4 linked regions of the Drosophila melanogaster genome follow. Changing the gene in region 3 together with the main gene of any one other region gives a genetic interaction. Each region holds a gene or a part of one and is shown on either strand. Other genes may lie near its edges. The genes, in order: Ser, nej, rn and nab.

What was found.
Region 1: of rn (region 3) and Ser, changing one enhances a phenotype caused by changing the other (phenotypic enhancement), as found in Drosophila melanogaster (one study listed by BioGRID).
Region 2: of rn (region 3) and nej, changing one suppresses a phenotype caused by changing the other (phenotypic suppression), as found in Drosophila melanogaster (one study listed by BioGRID).
Region 4: of rn (region 3) and nab, changing one suppresses a phenotype caused by changing the other (phenotypic suppression), as found in Drosophila melanogaster (one study listed by BioGRID).

Annotation. Positions count from the first base shown.
Region 1 is NT_033777.3:27,191,256-27,196,113, forward strand, and holds the start of Ser (serrate), read right to left. Parts: upstream 3,013-4,858; 5' UTR 2,689-3,012; intron 870-2,688; 5' UTR 488-869; coding exon 251-487; intron 1-250.
Region 2 is NC_004354.4:9,682,647-9,687,307, forward strand, and holds the start of nej (nejire), read right to left. Parts: upstream 3,022-4,661; 5' UTR 2,904-3,021; exon of another isoform or gene 2,857-2,903; intron 1,506-2,856; 5' UTR 1-1,505.
Region 3 is NT_033777.3:7,306,586-7,311,329, forward strand, and holds the start of rn (rotund), read right to left. Parts: upstream 3,045-4,744; 5' UTR 2,445-3,044; intron 1,891-2,444; 5' UTR 1,743-1,890; coding exon 1,272-1,742; intron 1-1,271. UniProt on the Drosophila melanogaster protein: Transcription factor involved in imaginal disks development. Isoform rn is required in the wings, antenna, haltere, proboscis and legs disks, while isoform roe is required in the eye disk.
Region 4 is NT_037436.4:4,154,886-4,162,514, reverse strand, and holds the start of nab (nab), read left to right. Parts: upstream 1-1,582; 5' UTR 1,583-1,865; coding exon 1,866-2,184; intron 2,185-6,018; coding exon 6,019-6,291; intron 6,292-6,401; coding exon 6,402-7,276; intron 7,277-7,629. Other genes in the region: mas (masquerade), read left to right, coding at 1-138, 198-520. UniProt on the Drosophila melanogaster protein: Transcriptional regulator that can both act as a coactivator or a corepressor depending on the context. Lacks DNA-binding domains and acts by associating with other transcription factors such as rotund (rn) and squeeze (sqz).

The sequences.
Region 1 (4,858 bases), about 20 Mb from region 3:
AGACAGCTCTTCGGGATGCGGAGTTGATAAATCACTCAAAAAAATAAACCCAAAAATCATCATTATTTACGTCCCCCATCAAAACTTTGCCCTCAGCCATTGCCAATTCGCATGGGTTGAATCAACTTTGTCTGTTTTCTTTTGGCCTTTTTGACGAGACACTACACCCGCATGTATTTGGATCTGGGGCTTTTTGCGATTATTGCTTTGGGGATTCGATCGTTTTTTGCATGTTGGTTGGTTTGCTTACCTTATGGACTAACAGTATTAAAATTAAAGCAATTAAGTTGCAGGCAGACTTTAATGATCGACAATCGCGGATCGTCGATGGCAGGGTCGCGATTTTGGGTACCCGATGCCTCGGACGCTGCCTTTTTGTCGCCGTCTTCTTGGACATTCCCAGGCTGTCTGCTGATTCTATTGTTGACTCCAACGACGACGACGTAGCTGGTTTTCGCCGAAAATGTTTCCTAAACATTTTGTACATTCTGGGGGCGTTTGCGAGCGTGATGCTGGTTGGCGATCTAGATGGAGTTTGTTTCGGATTCACTCTGGATTGGCACCACACAAATGTAAATTCGCTGGGCAGCCTTAATTAGCCCATGTATGCAGATTTTGGTGCCTTTGTTTGTTTCTATTTTGCCACACTACACTTGCTCTGGATAGCTGAATAACTGGCCGTACTCTGGATGCTGTATCATTTTCTCCACTTTGCCTTCGTTTTGTTTGGTTTTGTTTGGATAATGTTGTTATCACACACAATTATTATTTATTATTTATATGGACCTTAGTATGTGCTTCTCTCGTTTTTGTTTTGTTCACACTTGACACTTCCACTTGATAGGCGCTGATGTTTTGTAGATCTTTAGCTGTAACAATTGTCGAACGAATTGGAATTGAAACGGGCTGCGCAAAATCTATTTCACTGTGCATCATCAACGCTAATTGACACGCAGATGATGCTGCTGCTGCTGCAGTTGCAGTTGCAGTAGCGGCAACCGCAGCAAGCCGCAACAAGTGCCACCAGCCACCGCAGCAACATTTACTTTTGCCAGACCGCAAAAAGCGGCAACGTGCAGCAAATGCAAATGCAATTCAATTTATGTTAATTTAACGCTGTTACTGCCGCTGCTGATGTGGCTGCTTCTGCAGTTGCTGCTGCTGCGACTATGGAGCCGTGTCTTTGGCCACAAACAATTTGCATCTTGTGCGCATATTAATTTACAGATATTTTCACTCTTGCTCACATTACTCATTCTTCCCACCCTGCCGCTGCTTTTGCCATTCCGGCCATCCTATCCTCCCATGGCCTTTAGCCCCCCAGCCCGCCCCGGTTCCTCCTGCTCGGGTGTTAATTGTCCATTTAATTAAGTAATTTGCTTGGGGCCTCCTCCCGGCTTTGGCACGGAACGGAAGTCGTTGACTTTGAATCGAAACCCAGATGCTGCCGCTCTTGCTCATGCTGCTGCTGCTGCTGCCGCTGATGTGGATGTTGCTGCTGCTGCAGGGCATGACCGGAAGTGGCTTTTGCAAGTGGATGATGCAGCTACCTCCCCCTTAATACCCCCTAATACCGCTACTTTCACTCTTCTCTCTTGGCAATTTGCAAAACGATGAATGAACTTCTAGCGGCCTCAAAACTTTAGTATACCGTGTATCCATTTCTATTTCTAGTAACTTCTGGATATACTCTGATTTATCAAATAATTGTGCAACCAGATCACCGTCTTGAACTTAACGATCTGAATAAGCTTTGGACCGTGCTAGATCCGTTATTCGTTGCATATGGTAAATCATTGAGCAGTGCATCGAGCATTTTCCGCGCTCTCTTGATCAGGGGCTTTCCCATGCTCGTACCACCCATTCAGAACCAAACTGATTTCACAATCTCTCTTTTCTCCCGGTGCACAGAAGAAAACTACACTACTTCATCTATACGGAAAGTTCTTTAACTTTCTAATAAAACATTTGTTATTCAATTCAAAATTCTTTAAATTTAGAAAAAAAAATCCGTGTTAAGCATCGCTTTTAGAAAGTCAAATACTTTCAATAGGTTGTTTGGGAATCCCACTTATTAAGTTCTAGTGGAAATTTCTCTATGTGCGCCCATTATTATTATTATTTGTATTATCTGCGTGCATTATGAACTAGTCGGATGTTTTCATTCTTTCTCCCTTTCACTTGGCATGTTTCAATTCCACTTCGTAGTTGTAGCTTCGTGTGTTTGTGTCCCTGTTTTGCGTCCCTGTGTGCGTTATCAATGGAGCACACTGTGGCCAGCGATTCCCCCGGAATGGGGCACTCGTTTTCGCATATTCACATTGTTTGCACTTTTACTTTTCGCCTTTGATTAAACACAATTTTGACGGCATTGTATTTTGATATATTAATGTATTGTATTTAATTGAAAGGTATTTCCGTTTTCCTTAGCTCACACGATCTGGGCTCAGAAATTAATCACACACTATGGAAACACACACATAGCAAAATGTCGGCTGATTGTCGATCTTTCGATTTGCTTTTCTTCCACCGAGCATTTGTAGTTGATTGCTCTTCATCATTTGTTGTAATCAGCAAGCAATTTAATTCGATTGCGGCACATTAAACACTTTCACAATTGTTATATGGATGATGGTCGGTGGCGTTCAGTTTGGGTGCACAATAATCCAATTCGAGGAGGGGTTTTACCGTTGACAGAAAAGGGGCTCATCACCGCTCGAAGCACGGCGCTCGACTAAACGCGTTAACCGAATCCTGCGGCATTTCCAGCCCTCGAGCAGCATCCATTCACGGGGCGGAGCAAGTCACGCGAGAGAGCTGCGGTTTTGGTGGTGGTAAAGGTGGTGAGGTGAGCTGTCGCTGCTGCTGCTGGTGGTGGTGGTGGTGGTGGTGATCTGCAGTCTTAAGAGAACTGTGGCTCGGTCTGAACCACCGAAACCGCTTTCAAAATAAACTGGCGACGACTTCCGCTGAGTGCTGCGTGCGCTTCAGGCTTCGACTAACGACTGATTGCCTCTGGGCACAAGTTGCCGTCGATCCCGAGAGCTTAACTCGCAGCGATTCTCTCTGTGCTTCTCTTTGAAGAAAACCAGTTTGCTCTTCGTGCAGTGCTCTTTAGCCAGCCGCTGATTGGTCGTACGACTGTATATAGCCCCGGGGCCCGGAATCTGAATCAGAATCGGCAGTTAATGGAGTTGCTGCCGCTTCGGCTGCTGCACGCATGCGCGCCCGAGGCTCTCGGCTGCCGTTTTTTACGATTCCAACTTAATTATGCCAATAAGTGCATTCTGGGGCTGTGTGTGTATGTGTGTGTGTGCTCCAGATCTAGTAGCTCCAAGGGACTGGCAATTAACACCTAATATGAAGGAACGCTCCCACAATCTTTAACGGCTGGGAACCAAATCGAAAGATACTAGCATCGGCCAATTATTAACCACACAGACAGAGCGGCGACTTCCATCCAATTATCTGCTGGCCAAAAGTGTATAAATCAAATTTAAATGCAACTGGCCTATCAGTGCAGCCAAAACAAAAGACTTAAGCAACAAACTTGGCAATTACATGCGGCCAACAAGACAGGCGGCAGCATCTTTGTTGTTGCTGCTGCCTACCTTACTGTTGTTGTTAGCGGCTCATATTTCTTGAGGCGCATATCTAAATATCGAATCATGTTGCTGATTTTCCATTGTCTGCCCACCACAGCAACAACAGCAGCAGCAACAACTGCTGCTGCCTCAACAACTGCAACAACACATAGTAAATCTCATTGTGCCGTTGTGACATGACTCTTGTTCGACAATAGATAAAACAAATTGACTTGGTGTGTGCCCAAAATGTCTTCTCTAGCCGTCTCCCTGGCCATTTGGGTCTCCATCCTCCTCTATTTGGTGGGCGTACTGGGCAGCGGTCTCCCAGCTCCTTTGTCATCTTTTCTCGCTTAAAAAAAAAGAAGAAAAAAAAAACAGAAGAAATGGAAGAAAAACTGCACTACAATGCCCATTATCAGCTTACATATCTGCGACAAGAGACCCCAGAGCGGCAATTGTACGGGCCACCGAGACGGCAACGGCAAAGGCAACTGCCAGCGGCAATGGCAACGGCTTCGTTGTCCAAATATGTTGCAAGTTGGTGTTATTCTTCACACGGCATCATAAATTTCACGTATAATTGACGCTTTCAGTTATATCAAAATTGGCTAAAAGGCGACGACCAGCTTTGCGTTGGTGGCCAGCAGACTACAGCCTTCAGCCATCAGCCTCCAGAGACTTCGAGCTGGTGCTCCCCAGAGATATTATTTTTGCTCACTGTGGCTTACATTGTTTTCGTTTTGATTTCAACTAATAGCAGACAACGACTTACAGGTGTCTTTGTGCGCGTCTCTCATAATTTGGGGGCACTCTGTGTTGGCGGCTTGTTGGACACTTGTTCGGGTTTGATGGCATTTCTTTTTTGGGATTAGCTTTCGTTTTCCGGCCAAGTGTTTTTGTGTTTTTTGGTTTTACTGTCACATGTAACAGCTGCAAAAGTGGACCAGAGCGGTGGCATAAATCCATAAAATCAAACATATTGAGTAATCAAAATGTTAAACCCACCCTCTTGACAAAGGTTCACCCCCTCAAACCAAAAAAACCCTCGTTGGGCGAGTTCATTAAACAAACAGGCAAATATGTTGGCAATTTCAACCAGTTGGTTTTACACCACTCAACATTTTATGACAGATTTTTCAAGTGTTTTTTCCGCCTCCTCGTTTTTCTTTTTTAATTTTTCACTCCTCCTGCTGCCGTTGTGGTGGCTGTTTGCGGTTAGTGGTTTCTGGTGGTTTAGTGGTTGCCACATAGTGGCCGCCCTTCGTCCGGAG
Region 2 (4,661 bases), on a different chromosome or scaffold from region 3:
AACGCAGACGAAAAACGTTCGAAAAATCTGAGTAGTATTGTTTCTATTAGTTTATAAAGTTTTTCTGATTTTTCGCTTTTTTTTTTCACTAACTCTCCAATGATCCGTCTATGTTGGAGTTCGAGTGTGTTCTGATATTTTCGTTATTGGAACTTGTCAAATCTTCTTTCAGAAATTATTTGTCGCCTAGCACTTTGACAATTGTTGCACAGGTTGTTTGTTTGGTTAAGTGTTTAGTGTTTTAAGTTGTAGATTTCTTGATTAGTTTGGACACTTTGCAACACACGCACGCACAATACACAACACACAAAGAGGCACTCAAAAGGCGTGGCTGGCGAGGATTGGGATTTGGTTTTGGTATTGGTGTTTTGGGATCTTGTAATCGATGATGTTGGCGATGCTTGCACTTAATGATGATATTAACGCTGCTGCTCCGCTTTTTATTGCTAAGGATGTGGCTTCTGTTGTTGTTCTTGTTGCAGTTGTTGTTGTTGATTTAGATAATTCCTTTGCTAATTGCCGCTGCAACGACAGCAACAACGTAGCCGGCGCTATCGTCACCGCAACGTCAACGGATGGAGCTGACCACCACCACGTCGTCGGACCTGTGCCCGCTGATCCTTCTGCTCCCACACCCACTTCCACTCCTTCGCCTTTTCCCTCTCCTTCTGCCGCTTCCGCTGATCCTGGAGGATCGCGCAGCCACCACCGCCTTCTCGTTGCGGCGCCGTTGAGATCGTTGTCGCCGCCACTGGCGCTTTGGCCAGCAGACAACTTTTCCACCGCCTGGTGCTCCTCCTGCTCCTGCTCCTCTTGATGCTTGTTCTTATCCTGCGTCCGCTTGACCAGTACCTCTTCTTCTTCTTCGACTTCGGCCCTGCGCTTTTTTAGCTGCAATTTGTTTTTGCTGCTGCTGCTGATGCTGCTGTCGTTGTTGTTGTGGTTACTGCTGCTGCTGCTGCTGCCGTCGTTGTTCTCGTTGTTGCAATTGTTGTTTGTCGAACAGCAGCAGACACACGCGTGCATTTTGTGTTGTTGGGCCCCAAAAACACCAAAAGTTGACCTTGGCTGGGCGGCTCTTGTTATTGTTTGTTTGTTTGTTTGTCTGTTGTTGCCTGCCTGCCTCCACTGAGCGAAAAAGAACGGTTCTTGGTTTGGCTCTCTCCTCTTTCTCTTCCTTTTCTTTCCGCCTTTTTCTCCGCTATCTTACATATTTTATGTGATTTGTTTTTGGCGGCTTTTTGTTACACAGGAATATATATATATATATATAGATATTTTGACCATATATTATATATGCTTGTGTTTAATTTTGATTGCACTTGATTCGGTTATCGTTTACAATTAATAAGGAAAAAAAAGCAATTCACATTGTTGGCTGTTGTTGGGTTTGTTGTGTTTCGGTTTGTTTTTGTTGCTGGCGCGCTGCTGTTGTTTTTGTCGATGCTGATGTTGTTGCTGCTGCTGCTGCTGCCGACGTTTGCCGCTCTAGCATTACACATTAACTGCAAACGCACAAGAAGAATAATACACAGCCTATTAGATTATGTTGAATGGACGAACACAAATCGAAAGCAATATTTATTTATTTTCTTCTTTCTTTTTTGTAATTTAGCCGCGCGCGAGTGGACAGCGAAACCGAGGGGAAAATGGAAACAAAACGAAACTAAAATGCGACGAGACGTGCCGAAGACGGGGCGAAAAGGGAAGAACAACGAGAACAGTACCGAGAATTCTCTCGGTCTCGTTGCACTCATCTGTGTGCCGCTTGACGACCACTCACTCTCTCTCTCTCTCTTGTCTGTTCTTGCCTCGCAATTTTATTCGCCAATACTACCAGCGCTGTACTCGTTATTTTACTCGCAGACGTGTGTGTTGGCCTCTCGCTCTTTTGGCGCACACCACGAAAATGAAAATAATAATTTCATTTTGCCGCCAGTCCCCTAAAAAATATGGAAAACAAGTGCCGTCGTTGGCAAAAATATACTTTGAAACATGCTTAACATTTTTATGACAAATACATTTTTGGAAAAAAAATTTCACACCTTTACAGGTAATAAAAGTCAGAGCACTGCTTAAAAAAATTAATTGAAGTATCAGCCAGTTGCGGCTGTAGTCTATAGTCTAGTTTATAAATTAAATGGCCGAAAAAGTGGCCGTATTTTGGTTTTGCTTCCGCATTCGAGCGGCCATCATATGAAATTCAATTTGTTGGGGCGGCGAGTGGCGAGTGGGGTGCGAGCGGGATGACACTAGAGTGCAGTGGGGCTGGCTGACAAAAGCTTTCACACACTCACGCACGCACACATTTGGGGTTTGGGGCGCGCGTACAGAATTCTCACAGCGACGCCAACGCCGTTTTCACCACACAGTTACACACACGCACACTTCGAAAACAGCGAGTTCGTGCAAGAGCGAGCACGAGTCCGAGAGAGAAAGCATGCGATGGTATTAGTGCCAAGCGGCATTAGTGTGCAATATACACACGACGGTAAACGGCAACGAGTGCGAGGAGCATTGGAAAAAGAAAGAAAAACAGACGACAGAAATATATTCCATTTTTTTTCTGTGTTCGTTCGTCGTTTTCGTTTCGTTTTCTTCTTCACGTCGTTTCAAAGTTTCTATTGCAGAAATTTTTTGTGTTGTCTCCGCCAGAGCGTTTTTCATTTTTCCCGGCCCACACAAAAATCGCAAAAATATTTGGCGAAAATACGAAATTCAAGAAAATGCCGTAGAAAATTTGAAAAAAATTTCAGCCCGATTTTGGCCGGTATTTTTATTTTTCCACCGTCACCGATTGCCACGCACTAAATTTCTAACTATACTTTGCAATTTTGCCGAATTTCGGTTTTATACCATATATTTTTCACATTTTCCGGCGATTTTATAAAAATCCCACAAACTTTTTCGCAACACTAAAACAAAAAAATTTCAGTCCGCTTGTGTTAATCGTTCTCCGAGCCAAAAATGTTTTTGCTTCAGTGTGACCGCGGCTAGCCGTTCAAATACACCACCGAGCTCGGAAATACACTAAAATTGACTGTTTAACACAACACGCGAGTGGGCTCTCGTCGCTCTCGCGTGCTGTTTGGCCGCTGTTGTCGTACTGTTACGACCCGAAATCCATATAAATGCCTTTGCTAGCAGTCTGTTGGCCCCGTAACAGCTGTTAACCGCTGTCGGAACACTGTTTTGCTCTAGTCCCTCGCTCTCTGCGTCGGCGAGACCGCTCACGCCATGCGCTCCCAAAGAGCCGATACGCACACACGCGCACACATATGGCGCGCCAGATAACGAAGCAGCGAGTCCAGAGATGACCACATGATGACGGTGACACATTCGCCGATACTTTTATGCGGTCACTTGAAAATGTGCACAAAGAAGTTTTGTAAGAAACATCATTGGTTGGAGACCAACATCATTATGAAATGAATATTCTTTGCAGCGTTTTTGAGATCAAATAGGTATTCCAAAAAGATGTTTAATATGAATTAATAAATCAACATCTTGAATGAGTGCAGTTGTTTAGAATTTTTTGTTTAAAAAAGTATTTGTAGACATTAATTTTGAAAACGTTTGTCCATCGTAAAAATCTAGTTTAAAGTTCTTCAAAGGAAAAACGATATTTACAGAGGATCACGTAAGTAATCGAGTCATTGGATTTGCGCATCTCTGGTGGGTTCAGTGTTAGCGTGTTTTCCGTTCGCTCTTGCCGTGAGAGACAAAGAGAACGTGTGAGAGAGAGGCAAGCCGAAAAATCAGCCGCCGAAGGATACACTATCGTCGTCCTTGTCCGACGAACCGGTGGTCATGCAAACAACGCACAGAACAAATTAATTTTCAAATTGTTCAATAAATGTCCCACTTGCTTCTGTTGTTCCCCCCTTTCCGCTAGCGGAATTTTTTATATTCTTTTGGGGGCGCTCTTTCGTTGACTTTTCGAGCACTTTTTCGATTTTCGCGCGCTGTCGAACGGCAGCGTATTTATTTACAATTTTTTTTGTTAGCGGCCGCCGTTGTTTGTTGCAGATACACAGCGCACACATATAAGCTTGCACACTGATGCACACACACCGACACGTTGTCACCGAAATGAACGGGACGGCCATATGACTGGCTGGCGCTCGGTATGTGGGTGCAAGCGAGATACCGCGATCAAGACTCGAACGAGACGGGTCAGCGAGTGATACCGATTCTCTCTCTTTTGCGATTGGGAATAATGCCCGACTTTTTACACTACATGCGTTGGATCTGGTTATTTAATTATGCCATTTTTCTCAGTATATCGGCAATTGGTTGCATTAATTTTGCCGCAAAGTAAGGAACACAAACCGATAGTTAAGATCCAACGTCCCTGCTGCGCCTCGCGTGCACAATTTGCGCCAATTTCCCCCCTTTTCCAGTTTTTTTCAACCCAGCACCGCTCGTCTCTTCCTCTTCTTAACGTTAGCATTCGTACGAGGAACAGTGCTGTCATTGTGGCCGCTGTGTAGCTAAAAAGCGTAATTATTCATTATCTAGCTATCTTTTCGGATATTATTGTCATTTGCCTTTAATCTTGTGTATTTATATGGATGAAACGTGCTATAATAACAATGCAGAATGAAGAACTGAAGAGTTTCAAAACCTAAAAATAATTGGAATATAAAGTTTGGTTTTAC
Region 3 (4,744 bases):
ATATTTTGAATTCCTCGAATTACATATTTTATTCCACAGGCTGACATATGTCCTTAAACTTCACAGGACCACCTGTTGATTTGCATTAATTTCCTTTCATCCACTTGAAGCCATCAGTCAATCTGCATTAGACTGCGAAAAGCTTTGTAAGCCAGGCAATTATGGGATATCCTGTGCACGAACCAAGCCGACAAAAAGTGTCCTTTGGACCGTCTGAAAAAGCGACGCAAAAGCTTGAGCGTTTTACCATTAAAACCCACTCGAAACAAGAGATCTCTCCGTTTTGCGGTGCTCTTGCTTTCCCCGAAGAGAGAAAGAGAGAGCTCTTTCACTGACGCTCTTCGAGTTGGGGGCGTGTTTGTTTTCCTGTTTTTTACTCGCCTGCCACTTGTGTTTGTCGGCTTTTTGCCCTGCCTGGCTTTTAAGTGTTATTGGATGATTTTATGGAAATTGATTTGGAGCACGCCCACTTTCGGTGGTGAGAGTCGAGCCAAACAAGTGCAGCAGCTGCTCCAATGGGGATGCTAACCAGTAATTTGACATAATAACATTATCCATACACTGCTATAAAATTGGCTAGGAAACGGCAGTCGGATGGCTAAAGCATGGCAACCAACGGTGAGGATTAAAAATATGAGCTTTGATTTCTTTTAACTATTTTTTTTTTATTAAATAACGCCTAAAGTGTTCATTTATTTAATAAAAGAAAACATTTATCAAATGGCTACCAATATCTTAAAAGTGGATACAAAATGAGTAAAACTTAAAAAAAATTATTATTCGATATTCATGTCACTAAATTCAAAGAAGTTAGTTTTGGGTAGGTAAATTTATCCATGTTCAGGAGTAATGACCTTACACAAATTTTGCACTTCTTCAGTAGAATTAGAGCTTACTTCTACTTAAAAAAACGATTTATTATTCAATCGAAGATGTATCATTAGGATCATTATTATCTATCTGTGTTTTCGATTATGTAAACGGTCTGAGATCTCAAAAGCTAGAAGATTTCCTAATTTGGCAAGCAGATTTAACGTTTGCCCAAGAATACAAGCTCTCATACTAACAAATGATAATTAAAGAAACGGTTGTATCAGTATCATTAATGCCTATACAATAAAAACAACGTAAATGTTTTATTTTATCAGCTAGATAAAAGTTTCCGTTGCATTCAAATTAAAGTACTTAATAGTGTTTATTAAATAAAATAATACCAGGTCGTATTCATATAATATATTTTCATAATATTGTAAACTTTTTAGTGCGCTTACTCGAAACGTGTGTTCCACGGGGCAATCTAGTCCCAGCGCGTAATCCTCAACGACGGCTCCAAGCGAAGAGGGCTCGCCAAAGACCTGCTCGATCTTGATGGGCGGACTGGGCAGCAGGGGCGTGGCACTGGATCCTCCGACGGCGACGGCAGCAGCCGCTGCAGCGGCGGCGGCGGCGATTGCAAATGAGCTCTCGACAATTACTGGCGAACCTTGGCCGCCGGTGTGGCAGACGGGAATCGAAACTGGAACTGAAACTGGAACTGGACCGTTGCAGGGCGTTGGCGGGGCCGTGCATGGAGTGGGCGTGGCCGGGCCCTGGACATGGCCATCGTGGTAGGGCGTTACAACGAACGAGGGGTACGAGCGGAACTGGTGGTAGTCACTGTGGCCGTGCGAACTGTTATGCGGATTCGAGTGAGGATGGTGCGCCAACTGAGGTCCCTTGTACCAGGTACCATGCATAATCATTTAAGCACCTTCGATTGGCGGTTGTTCAGGGCGTTATTCTAATTAGTTCCACTTGGGGGTTCGCTCGGAATATCTATTTTACGTTTCAATTAAATAACGCGCTATTTAGTTTAGTTTTGTTGTTTTGTTCACTTTTTGGGAAATCGAGCTAGATGCGAATAGTAGGGAAAGAGTCATGTGGTTAGAAAGCAACTACTTTCGTCTATCCCTGAATCGGGAGTGTACTGAACCCAATAGAAAAGAAAGCTGGGATTACCTAGGTAAATAATATTTAAGCAGAATCGTGATGTGAGCAATGAGTTGCAACCGATTTGATTTCATAAATAATTTTAAAAAATTTTTAATTATGGAATGTTTACATAATAAACGAAAAATTTATGGTTTCAGTTTACAAAATAAAAACGGTATATTTCCATTTGAAGTAAATTTTGTTATTAATCATCACCGAACTATAATTTTACTATAGGGACATATGGAAATATATAATATATTATCGATTTAGGCGGAAGCTTTAAATATATTTAATATATATACTTTTTGGAACAGTTTAACTTGTGTTTGTATAATTTTGTAACTAGTTTATCAAATTATTGTTAACAAGTATCTTAAAACTTAATTCCGCAAAATGGCCTAAAATAAATATTTTATTAGGCTAGTCTTTTCTTGCTGCTGCTGCTGGGACTTATAGAATGACTTCATTACTTTCTAACCCCATTCGATATCTACTCCTCAGAGTGGCTCGTGGAAATTCTCGCAATTATCGCGTGTAGTAAGTGGATACTCCTCAATATATTCGTTCACTTGCATTCACTCAGCTGATCAGCGGATCACAATAACTATTCAGGGGAGCACTGAAACACGTTTATTACGGCCTCGATCGCATTGACACTTGACCAATTTCGACCCTTTCGAGGGCCTGGCTTGTTTTTTACCGACTCAGACGACGACGACGTGTGGTGATAACAATTTGCGAGTTCACTCGGCTCGATTTTTAATTATGATACCGCGAGCTGGGGGAGCAGCTGCACTTGCGGAATGGCGAAAATGCATTGCACTTTGCGACAGAATTCTTCGCGGATTGGGAGACGCGGGCAAAAAAGACTGCAGACTGCGGACTGCAGAACGGAGAGTGCAGACTGAGGAGTGCACTTGGCTGGAACGCGCGCGAAAGTGGCCAACTGGTGGACAGTGGCCGAGTGGCCGGCCGTTTGGGCCAGGTTTAGTTTGGCTTAGCCTGGCTTGGACTTTGCCTATGGCTTTGGCTCAGCAGAAGCGGCAGCAGCGAGCAGCGCAAAAAGTAGCTGCCAGCTCGCAAGAATTCCGAACTCGAATGCTGAGTGCGGCCACGAAAAAAACATTCAAATGCCTCGCACTCGCCGCCAAATCGCAGCATAGCTGCCCTCTCTGTCGCTCCACTCGCCCGGTCTCTCTCTCGCACTCGTGGCTGGCACGGCTTTGGGGCAGACGGCGACGCCTGCGCAACAGCTTTTTACTCCTTTTGCTCCAAAAGCAGTGGCAAAAAGTGGTTCGCTCGCTCTCTCCCTCTCTCACGCGGCCTCTCTCCCTCTCTCTTCGGGGCGATGGAAAAAATTGTTTGTGGTTTTTCCTGCAGCTCGCTTTTTGCTACCGGGTCTCTTGAGCAACTTTGATTTGATTTCGGGCTTTTTGCCTGAGTGGCTTTTCTTTTCTCTTGACTTTGAGCATGAATGAGCATATTGCGAGTTGCATGCTGCACGTTGCACGCTGCTCGTTGCGCGGCGAACGGTTAATGCGGCACTCCGTTTTTATAGCTCAATCTTTATGGTAAAACACGGGGGCGTTTAGGTGACGAGCAATGAAGGTTCAAGTCCGCCACCGAAGACGGGTTAATCAAAAGTGTTATCAGGAAAGTGGTTTCCATTTAATTGCTTAATAACGTTTTATTATTTTATTTATTGTCTTGTAAAAAATGTAGTTACTTAGTCTGCAATTTCTACGTCTCTCCTCTGCCACCATGTACAAATGAAACTTGATTTATTTACGTTTAAAATTTTCCTTTTTTAAATTTTTATAATGCAAATTCCACACCCAAAATGAAGATAGGAGCATACATTCGTTCCGATCCCAAATGCATAATTTTGCGCAAGAGACAAACGCTGAAATGACAAAAAATCACATCCGCAGACCATTAGCCCATTGACCAACTTCGATGGCGAACCACGCGTAGTAATGAGTTTTTAATACATGTAATATTCAAATTAAAAATCCGCAAAAACTACCAAAGTCAGTGGCAAAAACGAAACACGCTTTTTTGCGGCTAATAATCACACATATTCATTTCAAGCGAAGCGATGATTCGGCGGCACTGAAAAAATTCCACTCATACGCAGCGTTGGCCAAGCTCAAGAGCAAGCAGGGCAAAAGCGGCGATGCGCTCTTAAAACAAAAAAAAAACCATAAAAGCGGGCAAAAAAGAGAGAGTGCGAGCGTGAAAGAGAGGGTGTGAGTGTGAGAGCAGGTCGACACGAGGGTGAAGGCGGTGGAATTTTTATTGGAGCACTTGGTTTATTTCTTTTTTCACTGCTCGCCCCTTGACTGGCATCTTTTTGCTTGTGCTTGCCGTTTTATATTTTTTGTTAATTTTTCTTAAGTTTTTTTTTTTTTTTTACTCCTGACAAGGCATTTTTTATGGGTACGGACATGTGTCGCCAGCGGGTGGGAAAATGGCAGCGCATTTCGGCTGTGACAACTGCAACTGCCATTCCTCGGGGAAAAAGGTCAAAATAAATGAAATTAAAATGCAAGTGCTGCGCGTTTATTTAGTTAATCAATGCAATTGGCACATCCACCTGGGGACTGAGAATTGCAGTACTGCACCAGTAGAGCAGTATTGCAGCTATGTTTGATCCCAACGGCAACGATGTAGCTGGCCTTTCCTCACTCAAATCACTGGGAAATGGCTGCGTTTAGCCATCGTGGTTTTTCCGACCGACTGGGAACCTAATGTCCAGCAGTTTCCCGTT
Region 4 (7,629 bases), on a different chromosome or scaffold from region 3:
ACGATATTGCTCTCCTGAAGCTCCATGGTCAAGCGGAGCTTCGAGATGGAGTGTGCTTGGTGTGTCTTCCTGCACGAGGAGTCAGCCATGCGGCGGGCAAGCGATGCACGGTGACCGGATACGGATATATGGGTGAAGGTAGCGACTAGATCCTTATGATTACTTTGATAGCTTCTAACTTTTGGTCATCTTTTAAGCTGGTCCCATTCCCCTGCGAGTGCGTGAGGCGGAGATTCCCATTGTGAGCGATACGGAGTGCATACGGAAGGTGAACGCCGTGACGGAGAAGATCTTCATCCTGCCCGCCTCCAGTTTCTGTGCCGGCGGAGAGGAGGGACACGATGCCTGCCAGGGCGATGGAGGTGGTCCACTAGTTTGCCAAGATGATGGGTTCTACGAGCTGGCCGGCCTCGTCTCCTGGGGATTCGGCTGCGGGCGACAGGATGTGCCCGGCGTCTATGTGAAGACGTCCTCGTTCATCGGCTGGATCAACCAGATCATCAGCGTGAATAACTTATAGTGAGGAATCTCGCAAAGGACACACTGACACCATGTGCGGGAGGAACCCCGCTCTTGTGGCGATTTCCAGGACTGACGACTAGCCTGGTGTAGCCTACGATTGTTTCCAGGGGTTCCCGCTCTTCGACTGCTAACGTAACTCCATCCTAGTGTAATCTATTCATACCTAAACCTAACTCTAATGACTCCAAATCCAGAAAGCAACTATATTAACTATTATGATTATCGGTAGCGTAGACGGCAATCTTTAAAAGTATTCCCCTATTTGATAACGCCCTATGGTAAAATGTTTTTGTATATACAAAATAAATACAAAAAATCTTCAGTTATATAAACATTTGAGTATGGATTTGGTTGGGTAAAAAGGGTTTGGTTTAATTAATTTTTTAAATATATGATCATATTTTACAATAAGCTGTTTCTTCGTTTTCCACAAGAAACTGCTTACAAAATTTCAAATATATATTTTTCCTAAAGATATTTAAATATTTTCGAATTTTGGCGGCAAAGGAGAGCAGATTTTTCTTTTCTAGTACGAAAAAATGCAGTTGCATAATGATTCATTTGACATGGGAAAAGGGTTATGCAATCTTATACAACCTATTTTTTTTTTGCTGAAATTTGAATATTCCCAACAGATTTAACGGAATTCTTCACCAAAAAAACATTAAAAGGATCTTTTGGAAAGTCTCTCCGGCATTCCGAATCTTTGAGTGCTTCTCAAGAGGCGGAGCACAAAAACTCACTCAATGTCGCTCAATTGCGAAAAGAGAGAGAGAATGATTGTTCTCTAAGAGAATCTTGAGCATCGGCAGATAAAAAGTAACCCTCAAATCTGGAAACCAATGTCCTACGTTCCTAACCCTCCGAACAATTTGTTTGGTTTTGTTTTTATCCCTGATTTTAACCCTTTTTTTTTTTTTTGCCCCGGCTGATAGAAAACGAAAGCGCCCGGCACTCGGGTGGACTTCGGGTGGCTTCGTTGGCTTCGTTGTCGTCGGCCGGTTCCAAAAGGGTTCCTCAGATGTCCGTTCTGGGATTCGTGCACAGAAGTTCGTCTGGCCTCGAGCTGAGCGGATCGCAGAGATTAGAGAGACTGAAAGTGGCGCGAGTTTCGTTACTGCCGTTACAATCTTCTGTTTAACTCTCCCTAAAGAGTCTTATATACTTATCTAGTGTAGTTAATCGTAGCCTGTAGTACTCTTCCGATCCTCGATCCCTGATCCTAGATCCTAGTTTGCATGCATTTCGTCCTGGTTCTTTGTGTTTGTGCCTGGTATTTGATCGCCTTTCGTGCCAATCGCGTTAATTTAATCCGTCATCGTTTGCCAACGTGTTTTATCGCAATGGAGGCGAGCTCGAATCCCACAACACCCACGACGGCGGTGGCCACCACCACATCCACATCCAGTCCATCGCCAGCTGCCAGCACCAGCAGCAAAGGACACAGCCAATCCGCAACAGCATCTGCATCCGCCTCCGCCACACAGTCACAGCTGCTGACCACCAGTCTGGAAATGCCCAAGACGGAGGATCTGTACAATCTGTCCGTAGCCAGCGGACTATCCGAGGGACAGAGATCGCTCTCGGGCGCTCCGTCGGCCTCCTCCAGTCCCATTATGAGTCCGCAGGGCAAGATCTTTGGAAGGAATGCGAATGGAACAAGTAAGTAGTTTATTATTAACTGATGCTGTAATATGGTGAAAAGGATTTCCAAGGATATTACTGTGCTGTGTTACACTAGTGAACACAGTACAGTTGTGGATAGAAGTAAAAGGTTTTCTATGCTCTCACTTAAAAAATAAACTTTGGTAATCAAAGTACAATTGTAGAAAGGGAACTAATTGTTTTGAAACAAATTAAAAGTTTCTAATAGAAATTCTTTGTGAAGGATGCCTGTTTTCATAATTATAAACTATTTTCTGTCAGTTAATTTCTTTGCGTTCTAAAGGCTTTCAAAATGGTTTATGTTGATGGTAATTGAATATAGTTTTTGTCGTTAAAAATACCAAAAAAAATTTGCTGATACAGGTTCTAATTATCTCCGAAAGCCATGCACATCCTTTCGTCATTGGCTCATGCAGATGTCTTCATTTGTATAAATGTTATTGTGTCCAATCCTGATCCTTCGACCGCAACGAATCCTTTGACAAAGGAATCCTCATCCAGCCACATGCTGCAATTTTCGCGCTCTTTTCGCGAGCTTCCATTGTCTGGCGATGTTATGTAACGGAAAACCGAAGGAGCTTGTCCCTGTCCTTCAAGGACCTCCGTCTATTAACAAAGGAAGCTGAAAGTTACCTTTGCTGGGTAATAATTTAATTTCTTAAAAAATAGCGGACCCTGTTCCGGTTTTCATTTCCTCGGTGCTCGATTGCTTGGGGTGTCTTACTTTGCATATTTGCTCAAGGTCTAGGATTTCTTAAGGCAGCAATGGCAGACTTCATCCAATAGGATCCATGCCAGACCCAGGTAAGATGCCTTTTCCTAGGCAGCCGTTAGATGAACCTCATGATGATAGGTCGCGTCTTAGGGGTGATATGAAAAAACGTTGTAAGGAAACGGAAAAAACTCACCCCAAGCGATGAGGGTAGTAAAATATTTCAATAAATCTCAGTTGGCGGAAGGGGAGGCAACCAACGAGACGCGTTCTCGTTGGAAAAAATGCTCAAGCGCCGAAAGAAAAGATGTCGTCACACAGAGAAAAAAACATATATATATCCAGTTCTTAGTGATTCAATCAACTTATATTATCTAGTTGGTATCACTTAATATAACATAGCATTTCCAATGAGTATCCAGTGTATCTTTTATTTAGATTTATACAAGTACAATGGACATGGCGAAACAGGTCCTATTAAAACCCTCAAATTGGCAAGATTAAGATCGTAATGACCCCGAAAATAATGCACTTAATATTTTGGACAGACATTATTCTTTTCCTGTGCAGGTTATGGTTATGGTTCCTCTGCCGGGGCCATTGGCCATTGGCACGTACGGTCCACGTTATTGCCACCAATGGAATTTTGATCGACAAGAATTTGGTCGTTGAAAAAGTTGGCTTTTAATTTATCGTTGTATATGAGAAATAGTTTCGGTTACTTGCCCATTGCCGATGCCAAGCAGAAAGGGAGGATCGAATGGAGGAGGAGGAGGAGGATTCAGACCCTGGTCCCAGTCCCAAGTCCCAGGTTCCAGGTTCCAGGTTCCGATTCCAGGTCCAACTCTCCAAGTCAAAGTCTGCAAAGTCCGGCGTCTACTTTTTGCCCATAATCGAAGCGATCGCACGATTGACTGCTCCGCTCCACACGCACACACAGACCGCTCACACACACACACACATGCACTATAACGCATTTTCTAAATGCACTGTGAGAAAAGTGTGTCAAAATAATACAAATAATATAGGCATGAGCGAGGTACATACTTAACTTAATGCTCAGAGACGCCTTGTATGAAATATATATAATTATAATTTCCATTAGAAACAATTATCACATCTTATCAGAATCAACCACACTTTTTTTCTAAGTGCCTATCCTGCTGGCTGCTCGCGGTTTTCCGTTTTCTGCTCCTGGCTGCTTGGGCAGCTGCTTGGTATGTGGCGTCGAATGTCATTATTGCTGCCAAGTGCCAACTAAAAAGTTACTGCAGTTAATTTTTTGTCCATCTTCACCATTTGCCGTTCGCATAAAAACAGCATATTTAGCAAATGACAACAACAACAGCAGCCGCAGCATCGGCTCTTACGCAGTGGGTAAAAAAAATGAAAGCAAGCAAAAAAAAAAAAGAAAACCAAACCCGCAAATTAAATAAATAAAAAATCAGCAACAATCCGCAGAAGCAGAGGAGCTGGAGCAGCCACAACAAAGTGTCCCCAGTTCTCCGCCTTCCCAGCCTCCCGCTTCGCCATATCCCCCCCGTTCCCCCCACCATTCACATTATTTGTGTATTGAAATCACGTCTCATTTATTTATTGCTACCACCGGCTGCCCCTCTCCGTTTGCTCCACCAGACTCCCGACTTACGCAGGTCTGCGTTAAATACCCAAGTTAGGATCAGGGAGCGGGCGGTGGCAAGTGATGGAATAGACCAGAAGTGTGGCCACGCTCTTAACCCTTCAGCGGTCACTCTAGGTTTTTTTTTCAATTTCAAGATCAATTGAAAATCTTAAGAAAGCTTTCAGAAAAGCATTACTCATATGTATCTTTTCATTTTAAATATATTATATGTATATAGAGATATATAGATCATAAACTTTCACTAAAACTGGCCAAATGTGTCTATTATAACCCTCTCATTAACTAGTTTTAATAACCTTGTCACTTAGCTACTAGTTTGCTGGATTTAGCGTACATTTATAAGCACTTTCAAAGTCGACACTAATTTCAGTCCAGTTCAGCTCAGTTGATCACAGCTTTCAAGTGGACGCAACTGGTCTGATATTTTAGTTTCCAAACTATTTATGATATACCCAATTAAGCGGCTAAGAATGCGAATTATTCTTGCTGCCTGGCCATAAATCGCAACAACCCCATGGAGCGGAGCGTGGGTTAATGGCGCGAAGTGCGCATCCTTGGTGTTGCACGTCGGTGGATGCGCTTGTGGCTTCCAGTTGGCCAAGGCAACTGAATACAAACCACAAAAAAAAAAACAGAGCGAGTGGAATCGGAGGATGGCAATCGATGTAGGCAGCTTTTTCTGCCCTGAGTTTGTTATAATTTAGCCGACCAGCTCGTTTTTCTATTAATTAAAGCTGGCTGCAGACGTTGTCGCCGCCTGAAATATTCTCACATAATTATTTACGATTTGACATAATCATCATCCTCGTCATCGGCGTCGTCCATTTAGAGCTGTGCTGCCATAACAGTTACAGTCTCCTCGATCGGGGGATTCATTAGTATGAGCAATAAATCGCTGGCTAGTCAGGATGGTTTCCTATGAACTTGAGTGTAGGTACGACTTTATATGTATGTACATATATATTTCACACGATGCCATCCCATATACCCATGAAAATTTACCTATTTTGAGCCAAAAATTGAAAGTGATAAAAGCAAACAAAAAAAAAGAGAGAATAGGTTAGATTTAAATGATGATCCTGGCAATCCTTGCTGGCATCTTGCGCATGCGTGACGCATTTCTAACGAGTTTGCCGACTCAAAGCGGATCGTATCGCATCCTTGGTCTTTCAGAAGGGGTTGAACCACCATGCTTATGCAGATGAGTTGGTTCCCAGCTCTTGCCTCATCCTTTTTGTGTGCTTTCGAGTTTTTTTTTTTTGCTCTGCTCAGCCTCTACGAAAAAAGGGTTAGGGTCCAGACGTCCGTCGAGTTTTTTTTTTTTTTTGGGTAAGAAAAAGCGAATTTAATTAAAATTTTTTTCTTATAGGCGCGTAGCATTGTGAGAACGTCGCAGGCCAGAACTTAATAAATATCATTTTTTGCTGGAACTTCTTCAAGCCAGTTTCTTATGCATACGTTTGCTTGTATCTTCCAGTGATCACCACATCGCGACCGGGCAACGAGGCGGAGGTGCAGCTGTACCGGGTACTCCAGAGGGCCAGTCTGTTGGCCTACTACGACACCCTGCTGGAAATGGGCGGTGATGATGTGCAGCAGTTGTACGACGCCGGCGAGGAGGAGTTCCTCGAGATCATGGCCCTGGTCGGCATGGCTTCCAAGCCACTTCACGTCCGCCGGCTGCAGAAGGCGCTGCACGAGTGGGCCAACAATCCGGGTCTCTTCCAGGGACCCATGATGCCGCATCTGGGTAAGTTTAAGAAATATGATATAAGGAAAATGAGACTTTTACAATATTTAGTTGATTTGATGAATTTCCGCCTCTGTAAAACACTTTTGCTAATACCTTGTTACTTGCAGGTCTCTGCGAAACGCCACCGAAACCGGCATTGATCTTCAATCCGGACACCACGCCCGCTCTGCCCCGCCAGAAATTTCCCTCGTTCAATCCCTCGGGTTCCTCCTTTATGCCCTCGCCGGTTCCCCCAGCTCCACTGCCCGCTTCCGCCTCGGTTCCCGCTCCCACTGTCCCCTTGGCTACCCAGATCAGCTGTCCCTCAGCTCCTTCGGTGCCCTTGCCGCTGGTACTGCCCCCCAACCCGCTGACCAGCAGTCCGCATCCCTCGGCGAACAGTAACCTTCCGGCGAACACCGCCCACCAGGTCTCCTCCAGTTCGCCCCAGCTCACACCTGTTCTGACCGAAGCGCAGATCCAGCGGATAACCATGTGTGCTGATAAGATTGGCAGGCAACTGCCCCAGAGGGAACCGCGCGCCCAGACCACCAGGAAGCGAACCACCCGGGAACTGGAGCAGGTTATCGCCATGGGGGAACAGGATCCGCGGCGCATGGACGAGATCCGTAAGTACTCGGCCATCTACGGCCGTTTCGATTGCAAAAGGCGGCCGGAGAAGCCGCTGACCTTGCACGAGGTGTGCGTCAATGAGGCGGCGGCCCAGCTGTGTCGGAATCCCCAGACCATCTGGCTGCTGACCCGCCGGGATGAGCTGTTCCCCCTGGCACGGCAGATTGTCAAGGATGCCGGGTTCGGCCACTCGGCCAGCATTGCCCGGTACGGTGGTCTGCTCACCCAGCTGCCGTCGCAGGGAGCGGGATTGGGCGGAGGACGGGCTCCTGGCGACACGGACTGCGAGTCCAGTGACGCCGCCGTGCCCTCCAAGCGACAGCGACTCTCCTCTACGGAGGCTGCGCAGCTGCCGCTCGACTTGAATCGGGTAAGGAAGCTAGATACCGTAGAGCTATAGGTCCGGTGCCCGGTGCAGTGCTTCAGCTTCGCTTCAGAGTCCTCCGGACGGAGGTGCTCCCTGATAACCCAACAATTTGCCTTGCAGCTTTCGCGAACGCCAGAACACAATTACTAATCCTAGTCGAGAGGTTCTTCTCAGAATATCCCGACCTGTGGAGAGGGATCCAAGTTCACACTACAGTATTTTTGAACTAGACTTGATAAATCTTACTTCTAATCTTGTAGTTAAAAAACTGACTATAACCCATATAGTCTGTGTAGTCAATTTGGTCTTAAAGACCTTTGAAAATAACTAAATCACTAATGTATTTAATTCTTTAA